3 separate regions of the Mus musculus genome follow, and regions 1 and 3 are each reported to be linked to region 2. The links are microRNA targets in miRTarBase. Many come from high-throughput screens and were not tested one by one. Region 2 holds a microRNA gene; each other region holds the end of a gene's coding sequence.

What was found. The annotated mature microRNA mmu-miR-3082-5p reads GACAGAGUGUGUGUGUCUGUGU and lies in region 2 at 1,677-1,698, shown strand. An mRNA with a match to its seed (bases 2 to 7 or 8) in the 3' UTR can be bound and repressed. Matches are read on the target gene's strand: a 7mer-m8 pairs with bases 2 to 8, a 7mer-A1 pairs with bases 2 to 7 and ends in A, and an 8mer does both.
Region 1: the mRNA of Stx17 is a reported target of mmu-miR-3082-5p. Seed matches in the 3' UTR shown: 7mer-A1 at 2,507-2,513 and 7mer-A1 at 2,543-2,549.
Region 3: miRTarBase lists Gask1b as a target of mmu-miR-3082-5p. Seed matches in the 3' UTR shown: 7mer-A1 at 1,807-1,813 and 8mer at 1,837-1,844.

The regions. Positions count from the first base shown.
Region 1 is chr4:48,180,865-48,185,022 of GRCm38, forward strand. It overlaps Stx17 (syntaxin 17), which reads left to right. Exons shown (of 8, transcript NM_026343.2): 8 at 635-4,158. The coding sequence ends at 874. Among named protein-coding and RNA genes, the nearest start is that of Mir1958, 30 kb to the right of the region's middle.
Region 2 is chr17:25,828,946-25,833,103 of GRCm38, reverse strand. Mir3082 (microRNA 3082) reads left to right here and starts at 1,676; the gene lies at 1,676-1,739. It overlaps Jmjd8 (jumonji domain containing 8), which reads right to left and starts at 4,061. Exons shown (of 9, transcript NM_028101.5): 1 at 3,941-4,061; 2 at 3,766-3,864; 3 at 3,572-3,620; 4 at 3,402-3,498; 5 at 3,251-3,319; 6 at 3,043-3,162; 7 at 2,898-2,965; 8 at 2,670-2,804; 9 at 1,261-2,594. The coding sequence starts at 4,032. The coding sequence ends at 2,514. It overlaps Stub1 (STIP1 homology and U-Box containing protein 1), which reads left to right and starts at 185. Exons shown (of 7, transcript NM_019719.4): 1 at 185-412; 2 at 860-1,058; 3 at 1,143-1,308; 4 at 1,473-1,560; 5 at 1,739-1,795; 6 at 1,886-2,002; 7 at 2,094-2,470. The coding sequence starts at 251. The coding sequence ends at 2,219.
Region 3 is chr3:79,940,829-79,944,986 of GRCm38, forward strand. It overlaps Gask1b (golgi associated kinase 1B), which reads left to right. Exons shown (of 4, transcript NM_133187.3): 4 at 467-4,158. The coding sequence ends at 674. Among named protein-coding and RNA genes, the nearest start is that of Gm36569, 56 kb to the left of the region's middle.

The DNA of each region.
Region 1 (4,158 bases), not on the chromosome of region 2:
GGAAATAAGGAAGAAATGACACATAGGTAGTGTAAGAAATCAATGGCTGTAATATTTTACTCCCAGATTCATTCTATCATGAGAGAATTTTTTTCTCAAAAGAGAGTGAACTGTGGCTTCACTCTGGGGGATTTAGTTGTCTGAAGGAATATCTGCAGTGGCCTAGGGAGAAGAGAGAGCAGTCCATTAATCCAGGCAGAAGCAAAGCCCGAGCCTGCTGCAGCACTGGAGGAGTGGGAGCGTCTATTATCCATCTGATGGGACTCTCAGCCCAGGTGCCCACTGTGGAGCAGCCTCTGTGCTGAGCCACAGCTTTGCTGGGAGCCAGTGGCTGCTGGAGGAGCTGTTTAAACAAGCCAGCCAGATAGAGGATTGAGTAGTTTGCATGTAAAATCATTTTGTATAGTCCAATCTGGAGCACACCTCCTGCCTCCTTCAGGTCTGTGGTCTGGAGCAATGGCAGTACCTGTGGAATACATTCACACACACACCCCTCCAAGAATAATCTCTGAGGTTAATTATGAACGTAGAGTTAAAGAGGCATTGCCAGGAGTAATGAGAGGAAAACGCACATCACCACAGGCAGATTTTTCTCAACTCAATTTCTAAATTGAATCTTTTTTTTTTTTTACAGGCTGCAAAATACAAGCTGGCAGCTCTGCCTGTGGCAGGTGCACTCATCGGAGGAGTGGTAGGGGGTCCCATCGGCCTCCTCGCAGGCTTCAAAGTGGCAGGAATTGCAGCTGCACTTGGTGGTGGGGTGTTAGGCTTCACAGGTGGAAAATTGATACAAAGAAGGAAACAGAAAATGATGGAGAAGCTCACTTCCAGCTGTCCAGATCTCCCTAGCCAAAGTGACAAAAAACGCAGTTAAAGCCCAAGCTTCCAGCTGCTGCTGTGCACCGAGCTAAGGAGCAGTTGCTGTTGCTGGAAGTGTTAGGAAGTGGCTCTCCCTGTCCATGCAGTGTTGAACCACCATGAGTGGATGTGTTTGTTAGCTGGGTGTTAATGGAGATTTTAGAGGTGGAGGAGCCTGGCCAGAGGGTGTCTGTCAGGTCAAGTTTAAAGACTGCCAAAGAGCAAAGGTTAGGCCTGGAAATGTGAAAACTGGATCCATAACTAAGGATCTAAGAAGTGTAGACATGTAGTGGACACCTGAGGTCAGTGTATTTGTCAATTATTTCTTCCTATAGGGAGGAACAGAATTCGAGTTCAGGAGTCTCTGTCAGGTAGGGATGTTGCCGCTCAACAGGGGGCACGGGTGAACTACTTGTGGACTTGAGGGCTGTTGTACTTAGACCCATCTGTATTTTCTGGGGAAGGAAATTAACACTATAAAATAGAAAGAGAAGCCCATTTTCTCTTTACAGTTTCTTCATTGTGACATGGGTGTTTTTTCTGAAGTCTTTCCTGCCTCTCCAGATAAGGAGCACAAAACCTCAATGCTAGACCTACTAAACCAGCCACCAAGCCCATTTCCAGCTGGTGATTCAGATAACTGTCTATTCTACTCTTCTGATTCCTACCCATGTTATAAGGATTTTCCTCATAATCTGCCTTTTTATATAGTTTTCCACTTCTAGCTACCCCTACCTGTAATCTCTACAATCTCTTTAGTTGAAAAAAGAAAATTTAAATATTTCCAACGTTATTTAGGTTAAGGGGAGTGAGTACAAGATCATATCACAGGGCACTTTAGAAGGGGCTGGCATACCTGCTGCCTCCAGGGATTGCCGCCCCTCAGTCTTCTTGGGCGTCCAAGAAGGAGCTTTCTACCTCACATCTGTCACTGCTGCCCTTTCCCAGGCCGTCTCCCCTCCTGCCGCTGTCCTCGCAGTGGTCACGCTTAACCTCTCTCACATTCTAGATGGGAAAACTCATGATTCAGACCCAAGGAAAGATCTGTGGTGCTAACCCAACAGTTGGCATGCACAGCAGGCATGTCCACTTCAACTCCGTGTCTCTCTCAAAACAGAAAGGTTTGAGATTCAGAAGAAAGGAATAGGAAGAAGCCACTGGTCCCGCAACTCTCATCTCTTCCTGAGAAGAGTGCACCAGCAGCCAGAGCACAGGGTCAGGGGCCGAAGGGTTACCTCTTAGCTTCTTTTAAGTGCTGAGTTGATGTTTGGCCTCTGTGGGTTGCTACCTTTCCCTCTGTGTTATAACTTCCTTCCTTCCCTTCAATGCTTTGTGAGTCTTACCAGTGCATCCCTATGAAACAAAGAACTACACCGTATTAAAAGATCGGAAAGTATTGAGTATTTATTTCTTATCCGCTGTCTTAAGACTTTAATAACAAACAAAATTTGAATAATTTTCGGATCCTGAAATATTGCCAAACACACTGGGCATTAAGTAATTACTTTTATTGTCATCCTTTGTTCTCTGGTTCTTGCTGCTCCTTTAAGATAGCATGTCAAACCTGAGCAGGGGGCATTCAGAATGCATCCAGATTTTACTTCAAATAAGATTCCTTTTTGTTTTGTTTTATTTTTCAAGATGTTTTCTCTGTATAGTCCTGACCTAGCTGTCCTGGAACTCTCTCTGTAGACCAGGCTGGCCTTGAACTCAGAGATCCATCTGTCTCTGCCTCCGGAGTGCTGGGATTAAAGGTGTGTTGCCATACCCAGCTAAAACAAGATTCTTGAACTTTGGCCCCGGGGAAATTCCGATACAGCCAGTCCATCCTGATTAGCTAGTATTGTGAGGATAAGAAGTGTTGTTTAATTCTTTAGTCTCCCATGGTCTACTTCATCTTCCTCATTACTTAATACTCAATTCCATGAATCCCCAAAGTGCCATCAGTAAGTGCCATAACAGCCTCAGCACATGGAAGCCAAAGAAACAGGGCTGAGGCTTGGATATGAAGCTCGCACCCTTGGGACCGCGCATCTTCGCTGAGCCAGTGTGGGAATGTGGGAACCATCGGCATGTTAATGAACCATCAGTATTGGGCTTTTGACTCTAGCCACCGTAATGGTTAAGGAAGTTACAGTCCTCTTTAAAATTTCATTATACTTTAAAGTTATTGAGAAATTGTTTTTCATTTCTCCACAATAGAATCCAATAGCCAACTTTTTGTGGAAATTTCTTAGAAGTGTTTAATCAACTATAAATGATATAAAAGTACTTAAACGTATAAATTAGTCAATATGACACAGAAATGATCTTAAAATTGAATTTAATATGCCCCATAGTGTCTAGTTAAATTTATCATCTCTATGATTTATGTCTTATTTTTATTTCAACTAGTTAAAAAGAATCATTTTAATGTCTTAAAATTTGTAGAGACTTCATATTAGTATAGGCAGTCCCCCTAAAGACTTTTTGATGTTATAATCTGATAATTCCTCTGAAATTTTGATGTAGCCCACAGTAAAAAACGTATTAGGATTGAACGTGTATCCATGAAAAATGTTTACCATTGTGTGCAGTACATTCTGATGTTCTGTTTCTTCAACATGCTAACTTCAACCCACAAAACCAGTCTCAGTCTACAAATGGATTACCACCCTCAGTTTTCAGAAAACACCCTTCCCTAAGGAAGAACTGGTGTTTCCCAAGCAGTTTGCCAGTTATTTATGGAAAGGGTAACCGGGCCTCAGAGGAATTAAGTAATTTGCAGTCTTTCCATTCATTCCAAGGGCAGGAAGCCTGGATGGAATGGGTTCTGCTGAGCCACACTCTGCCATGCTGTGCTGCCTCCCTGAAGCTCAGAGACTTGTAAGGCCAGCAGGGGACAACCCATGCTGTCCGTTTACTTCTTTGTCTTCTGGCCTCATCGGGTGTCCACAGCCTGTTCTTAATTGTGGCCATGCATAGAACACAGAGCTTAAGTATAAAATGAACACTGCTATCCCACCCTATCCTCTACACATTGGTTCATATCATAGGCTATGATCACTGTTCAAAATGTTTTATATAATTAAAAGTAAACACTACTTTTAAACAAATCTCTCATAGCATTTAGAATCAATTAATCATTATGCTTTAAATGATGCCCCCGGGAAGCCAGGCACAAACGGTGGGGGGCAGGCAATAGCCTATTTCTGAACATCTGCTTTTGGATTGCCATCAAAAACAAAATTGCATGTTAAATAAGAAAAGCCACATCCAGTGTGTCGGCCTCAGACTGGTTTCCCATACCTTGTGACCCAA
Region 2 (4,158 bases):
AGCCTTGGTCTGAGCAGGGTAGGTCTCGGTTACTGTAGGGCGGGGCCTGTAGAGCGCGGCGGAAGCTTCTCAGAGCTAAGGGAACTGGCTCAATCCACGAGGCTCCGCCTTTGCTCACGTGTCCCCATGCCAGCTCCGCCCCACACCGGAAGTTCCGGTGGCGGATCGCCGACCGGGCGGAGCTGATCGCTGCGCGGGCTGCGAGATCTAGGTGGCCGGGCGCGGAGCCCAAGCCGTGCCGCGCGGCGCCATGAAGGGCAAGGAGGAAAAGGAGGGCGGCGCGCGGCTGGGCACTGGTGGCGGCGGCAGCCCTGATAAGAGCCCGAGTGCGCAAGAGCTCAAGGAGCAGGGAAACCGGCTCTTCGTGGGCCGCAAGTACCCGGAGGCGGCGGCCTGCTACGGCCGCGCCATCGTGAGTGCGGGAGGGGCGGGGGCGGGGCCCGATGTGCCTCCCAGTTTTGTGATCCCGGACAGGGTTTCTGGCAGCCTGGACTCGATGGCTCGCTCGCTCCCCTGGTGCCCGGATTGCTGTTCCCGAGTCTAGGGCTGATTTGACTGGGAACTGGCGGGCGGGATGCTTGATTAAGTAAGACTAAGGATGACACCAGGAGCTCTTGCCCCTTGAGATTTCCAAGCCCAGAGCTTGTAGAGGGGTTGTGGGATTTCTCTCAAAAGCAGTTGGAGGCAAGAAAGCATGGCCAGAATCCAGAGCTCTTGATAATTCGGAAATCTCCAGTTCCTCTATTCCAGCCATGGGCCCCCAAAGCTGGAGCATTGACCAGATCATTGGCTTTCAGCTTGCTAAATGAGAGGGGATCAACTGAGCCCACACTCTTTGACGCCTGGTCTTGGTCCCCAGACTCGGAACCCACTTGTGGCAGTGTACTACACTAACCGGGCCCTGTGCTATCTGAAGATGCAGCAGCCTGAACAGGCACTTGCTGACTGCCGGCGAGCCCTGGAGCTGGACGGGCAGTCTGTGAAGGCGCACTTCTTCCTGGGGCAGTGCCAGCTGGAGATGGAGAGTTATGATGAGGCCATTGCCAATCTGCAGCGAGGTGGGCTGACAAGATGCAAGGTTGAGGGCACCTTGGGGGACCAGGATTGTTGACAAGTGTAACCAAAAGTGTCCACTCCCCTAGCCTATAGTTTGGCCAAGGAGCAGCGACTCAACTTTGGGGATGATATTCCTAGTGCCCTTCGCATTGCTAAGAAGAAGCGCTGGAACAGTATCGAGGAACGGCGCATCCACCAGGAGAGTGAGCTGCATTCATATCTCACCAGGCTCATTGCTGCTGAGCGAGAGAGGTGGGTCCCTCCCCCAGCAGACACTGAGTCACCAGCACAAGTGTTTTTATTGAAGGACAACAACCGGTACATGGGAAGCCCAGGAGGAAAGAGGCCTGAGATGGGGCGGGCTCTGTGATTTCCTGGTCAGGGCCATCACCAACTAGCTTCTGGTTAACCCTCAGGGAACTGGAGGAGTGTCAGCGGAACCACGAGGGTCATGAAGATGATGGCCACATCCGGGCCCAGCAGGCCTGCATTGAGGCCAAGCACGTGAGGGTGCCCCTAGTCCACATGTGGGTCATTGTGTGTGTGTTTGTGTGTGGCATGAAAAGTGCCCCAGCCTTTGGTGGATCTGTTGGCCCATGCATGACATGAGTGCCCTGGTGGACAGAGTGTGTGTGTCTGTGTGGAGACAGGAGTTGCCCACACATGGCACTCAACTCTGCAGGATAAATACATGGCAGATATGGATGAGCTCTTCTCTCAGGTGGACGAGAAAAGAAAGGTGAGGACCCCCGGAAGCTCATCGGCTGCTGCTGGTATGGTGACCCCCACAGCCCCCTCCAGTTCTAGACATTTTCCCCTTGTGCTATAGAAGCGAGATATCCCTGACTACTTGTGTGGCAAGATTAGCTTTGAGCTGATGCGGGAACCCTGCATTACACCCAGTGGTATCACCTATGACCGCAAGGACATTGAGGAGCACCTGCAGGTAAGGAGGGCCCATGGAGACCGGGCCATGGAGAGCCTTGGTACCCGGATCGGTATACTCAGGCCATTGAACACTCTTGACTCTGTTGCAGCGTGTGGGCCACTTTGACCCTGTGACCCGGAGCCCTCTGACCCAGGAACAGCTCATCCCCAACTTGGCCATGAAGGAAGTCATTGACGCTTTCATCTCTGAGAACGGCTGGGTAGAGGACTATTGAGGCCCCATGTCCTGCCTGGCACCCTGGCCCAGGAGGATCTGGAGACGGAAGCTCCAGTCCCTGTATAGTTTGTGTCCCTGGGCCTGCCCCCATCGGCCCTGCTGATGGGTTCTGAACTGCTCCCCTTCTCAGCATACCCCTTGCTGGACCATGAGCCTCCCTTGTCCCCCTTCTGGGCTGGAGAGTGGGTGAGGGTGGGCTGAGGTTGCTGCTGCTGCCACTGTCCTGTAATAAAGTCTGTGAGCACTACATTGGCATGTGCTGGTGCAGTGGGCTTGCCAGTTGCCTGTCTGGCTAGCCAAGGAAGGTAGAAATGAAGACACTGGTGTCCAGATTGAGTGTGGCATGCCACCACCGATCAGGAAAATACAGTACCTGGGAGAAAAGAAAAAAAAAATTTTGATTCATGGCTTTTTGAGTTAGCCCAACCCCCACCTACCAGCTACTGACTTCACCAGCCTGGATGGTACATTCTAGAGGCCGTGCTGACAGGGCTAGAGATGGGTATATTTCCAGCAGCCAGGCCAATGTGGTCTTGTTAGGGTGGAACTCAGGTGTCTTCTCAGGAGGGTAGAGGAACCAGCGCTGGAGGCAGGAGTGTAAGGTCACTATGTGTGCAATGGACTATAGACACCAGATTTACACACACACATAACACACACATAACACTGTACTGACCTTCCGACCATAGATAACCTCTGAGAAACCAGGCCCATGCCAGTGGAAGGGTACCCCAGATCCAGCTCCTGTGGGGTCAGTTATGAATAGCTGATGAACAAAATATATATGGGCTCCCCCAAGTTTGTTTTGAAGTAGCCCCTACCTGCAATTCCAAAGCTGTAAGCAGGGGTGGTTCCCAGGAGACGGAATGGTGGCGGAGAGTAGTGCTGGAAGAGGGATGCCCACTCAGTGAAGTTGTTGTCTCCAAAAAAGTACAGGGTGTCTGCCAGCAGAGAGGGTGATAGGCAGGAGTACTGGCAACAGTGGGCTCCCAAGTACCCCACTCCCACCGCTGCCTGGGTCTGGCTCACCATTGCCTAGGGATGCAGGATCCTGGGGCTGCAGCAGCTGTTCCACATATTCCTGGAAGGGCAGGTCCACTACAAGAAGGGGGAGCCAGTCGGGACTGGTCAGTTCTGCCTTTGAGATGTGAAGGCAAACCTTGCAGGGTGTGTAGCTCACCTTTCTGGTAGGAGTAGGTGTTGGCTGTACTCAAGCGAACAATGTTGTCCCCGAACGAGGCTAGCAGGTTTTCCCGGGAACACAGGGCCCGGAACTTCTGGGGATGAAGGATAAGGTAACTGAGCACTTGGCCAAACAGAAGCAGTTGCCCACAGGGTACGAATACTCACCGAGTTGTCCGTGAGTCCTTGCAAGATGACGGGCTTGAGGAAGGCATAGCTGGGGGGAAAGAGGAGAATGTTGCACTGAGTTTGAACTCTGCAGGGGCCTCTCCTACACACCAGGCAGTGAGACCTCCGCAGCCAAAGACCATGATTGGTAGTATGCCTAGAATCATGCTGAGACTTGGGGCAGGCACACATACTGCTGCATGAATTCGGAGTACGTGATGTGTGCCCGACGCTCCACTGTGCAACGCTCCTCCTCCATTACTGCTGCTGCAATTCCCAGCCCATTCTGTTTCCTGCAGGGACAACAGGTCAGGCCAGTCAAAGCTTTAAGTTCAGGCTCCCTCCCGCCACCCATTTCCTATGGCTCACCATCCCCCTTCGCCAGAGGCAGGCAGAATCACAGTCACCATCATCCATAGTACAAAGAGCAAAAGCAGACCGCGCCGCCCAGCCGCCGCCATGAACATACGGGTGCAGGCGCGCAGCACGCTGGGAATTCTGTCGACACTTGCGTAACCACAAGCCATTGGCTTATCATCCGGACTGCTGTAGCTACCTGCAAGCAGTAGCCAGCCGGCCTTGGAAGT
Region 3 (4,158 bases), not on the chromosome of region 2:
AAAGTCTGTAGTCATTGAACTTTAAACCATAACTGCTGTTCAGGGAGGACACTTCGCTGAAACCACACACGTTTTGCTTCTCTCGATTTTCTTTCATCAAACTTCACCTTGTTACTGATGAGAGCAGACAAAAGGCTTTCTGTAGCTTAAGATGATGGGAAATACATCTTCAGACCTAATGTGATCTTAATTCTATGCCTCTATTTGCCAATCTTTAATGACCTTTAAGTAAGAAATTAGGATGTCACGTTCTGAATGGACTAGATAATTCGGTTCATTTGAAATACATTTTTTCGTGTATTTTATTTTCATGAGAAGTGTCTGCTTGTCAGTGACAAAAACATTTTGGTTTTCTAGGTCTCATTTGATAGTGTGACTTATGAGATTAAGGAAGGCAGAGCAACTGGAAGGAGAAATAATATTTCTGAGCAATTTCTAAGAATGAAATGTTGTGTTCTCGTTTCAGGTTTCCTGAATCTGCAGTTTCTGTTTTGAAGAGCCAACACTTAAGACAGAAGCTCCTTCAGTCTCTGTTCCTTGATCAGGTTTATTGGGAAAGTCAAGGAGGCAGGCAAGGCATCGAGAAGCTTATCGACGTGATAGAGCGGAGAGCCAGAATCCTTATCACCTACATCAACGCACACGGGGCTAGAGTATTACCTATGAATGAATGACAAATGGCTTTCTGCCTTGAGGGCTATACATGTGTCACATTTGGTTTTTCTTAAATAAAAGATATCAACCTTAAGTGTTTCTAGAAACGAGGCAGCATAGTTGAATACGTGAAACTGACGCAGTTTATATCATGAACTGAGTTTAAAAAGTTTGTAGAGTTTAGAGGTATGCAGATTCAAGAAGTTTCAGAATAACATATTGCTTGCAGAATGCCTGTTAATATATTTTCCTAAGACTCTGGTATGTTTGTCTCAGCATTGTCATTGTGTAATGACCCAAATGATTATTCCTACTGATGTTTAAACCATTTTCATATCATTTGACGGAACAATATAAACCAGAGACACTGGCTCTTCTAATAAATCATTCCCATGCCATTTGACTGACCTGACCAGCTGCTAGAAATGAGTTGATCGGCATTCTCTCATTGCTGATGGTTGCAACAGCTTTTCCAACACTATCCAGAGGCAATTCTACATCACGAAATTGAGGCGTCTGATCTGCAAGTACAACAGTCTTGAAACACCTTCTAAGTAGACATGGAAGTAGATTCGTTACAAACGACCAGTATATTTTCTAGAGTCTAAGATAATCAGCTACCTCTGAACAACAAAATTCTCCTATCCTTCCCTTTTTAAGAAATTTATTGACAGCATAGACATTTCCATATATGACAATTGATGTATTCGATTTGCTGTCTCAATTTTGATCCAATTTATATCTTGTGGTTAGAAAACTAAAAAGTTATGAGGCATGTTGCTACCTGTTTGAAAATTTACTTGTAGAATCCCTTAATATTCTTATTGGTTGATTGGCTTAAAAAAAAGTTAAGGTTTCACATAGTCCAGGCTGGCTTTGAACTCCTTACGCATCAGAGGATGACCTTGGTCTTCTGATGCTTTGCCACCCAAGTGTTGGGATAACAGACAGTATATGACACCATGCCCCGTAGTACTCAGGATCAAGCTGGGTCTCTGTCATGTTAGAGAGACACTGTATGACTAAGCCCATAACCCCAGCCCACTTTTAATGAATATGTAACAATTTGTCATTTTATAAAGGATATACTGTAATTTCTGAAGTTTTCTTTTTTGTTTTTGTTTTTGTTTTTTGTTTTTCGAGTCAGGGTTTCTCTGTATAGCCTTGGCTGTCCTAGAACTCACTCTGTAGACCAGGCTGACCTTGAACTCAGAAATCCGCCTGCCTCTGCCTCCCAAGTGCTGGGTTTAAAGGCATGCGCCACCACTGCCTGGCTGAAGTATTTTTTTTTAATCATAGAGGACTTCCTTGGTGCAATTAGGTTTCATCTGATTTAACTGATATTATCTAGGTATTGACGATAAGTTCAGATATTAAATATATTATGTAGATCAGCTCAATACAAGAAGTCCTAATGAAAGCCAACACTCATGACTGCATCTTCTCACAAAGAACATGGATAGAGAGCATATGGCAACTAATTAGGCAAAATTAAGTCTCAACTAATTCTCCCCCAAATCCCTCTACCAAACCTTTCGTGGGCTTGGAGGAACTAAGGCACACAAAGTTCATGCTCTGAGTCTTTCTGTCCTGAGAGAATTTGCCAGGCCATCACTTATCCTTCTTATACGGAACCTTTGAATCTAGAGCAAATTCTGTCTCTCTTGCTTTCAGCTCTACTACCGCTTATTTGCAAGGTCATTGATTAGCCAGGTGTAGTGATACAGACCTGAAATCCTAGCACCCAGGAAGCCGTGGACGGTTTGCAAGTCTGATGTCAGTCTGGTGTTAGTGATAACCTGTCTGAAATGTGCCTCTCCCTTCATAAAAACTGATTTACTGACTTTTTCTTCTTTTGGAAACTTAAAAAAACTAAAATAAAAAGTTACACATTTTTATCATACTTCTCATCTCCTTGTTTTCAGTTTTGTTCTTAATGCACACATCTTCCGTCTTCTGATGAAAAATAATTTGATATTGATGTGAACTTTTAAAAACATACCAATATAGGCTACATCATAGGAAAAAATACCTGTGTAGATTATAATTGATACAAATACACCAACTTGTCAAACTAGTAAGTCTAAGTGTTAGGTATAAGAGAAGACAGACGAAGGGAAGAGGCACCCACTGATGCCTCTTGTTTCTGCTTTCCAAGGCTCATGACCAAGGACTGCATCTTCCATCCTATATGTTTCCTTTCCCTTGGCGTGGTGAACTTTGTCGCGTTCTCTGCAGTTCTCTCCAGTGTGACCTGAGTATGACTGTGGGCTCTGGTGAGTCCCCACAATGGCTGCTCTCTATGAGTTTTGTCTCACAAATCATCTTAATTATCTTTGTGAGCACTTTTACACCCCCACTTGACCTTGAATTAAAAGATTTCTGCCAAGTTGTCTCATGCCTTATCAAGACGACCTACACATTTATCTTAATACTTTTTTGTTTTTGCAGAATTTACCATTTTAATTCACATTGTGATATTAATTACAGGCATTCTGGCTTTTTAAAAATCTTGCTTTTATGCTCTCAGTTAGGATGCTTCTGAGCAAGCTGGCCTCCCCAAGATGGGTCTGACCCAGATGGGTTTTTGCCTAGTTATTTCAACATGCTTAATTCTAAGCAAAAGGTTCGAGGACATTGCTTATTTTTATAACTTTTGTTTTAAAGATTTATTTTTACTGTTTATTTGTGTGTATACATAGGTATACACACACATGTGTATGCAGTACTCATGGAAGCCAGAAGAAGGGCATCGGAACCTCTGAAGCAATTGTGAGCTACCTGACTTGGGGTCTTGGAACTCAACTAAGGTCCTCTGGAAGAGCAGTGCATGCTCTCAACAGCTGGGCATCTCCCCAGCCTTTACATTCATTTTTAAAATGATTTATTTTGTTTTGCAAACAGTGAGTAATTGATGGTGCATTAGTTTTGACTAATAACTTCAGGCCAAACTCTGATTTCTAACAAGCAACATTTTTCTTTTATTGAAACGATGAGAGTGTTTTTGTATTTCCGATGTGCTAAAGAAAACCTACTGTGATTTGGTATAGAATATCCCATTACATGGCTTATTTGCTCTAACAGATGTAAATAGAAGATAAGGGCTTATTCTGGTGTGACCTGCTTCCTGTTAGCTGATGTGAAAACACACATGTGTCTCAGACCCTGTCATTAAATGCTACAAATTAAATTCGTGTAATTTTTTCTGATACACGAGTTAGTTTTCAAAAGAGAATACAGTGCCCCTCCCCTTTGGAACAGTCCACTCCAGTCTGTCTCTGCTTTAGACAGACTTTAGTCTTTGTTTTTATGACCAAATATTCTGTTTAAACTGGAAAACGGAATAAACAATGAACTTCAAAAGGATGTTTGTTTGTTACTTCACCAGTGGAAAAAAAGAGGCAATTTAGAAGTCAAGATGCCTGCCTGGGTCGTGTGTGCAGGCATGTGTGCACGAATTTGATGTCATAATTCATGATCACTATGCTTTCTCTCCGTGTACAT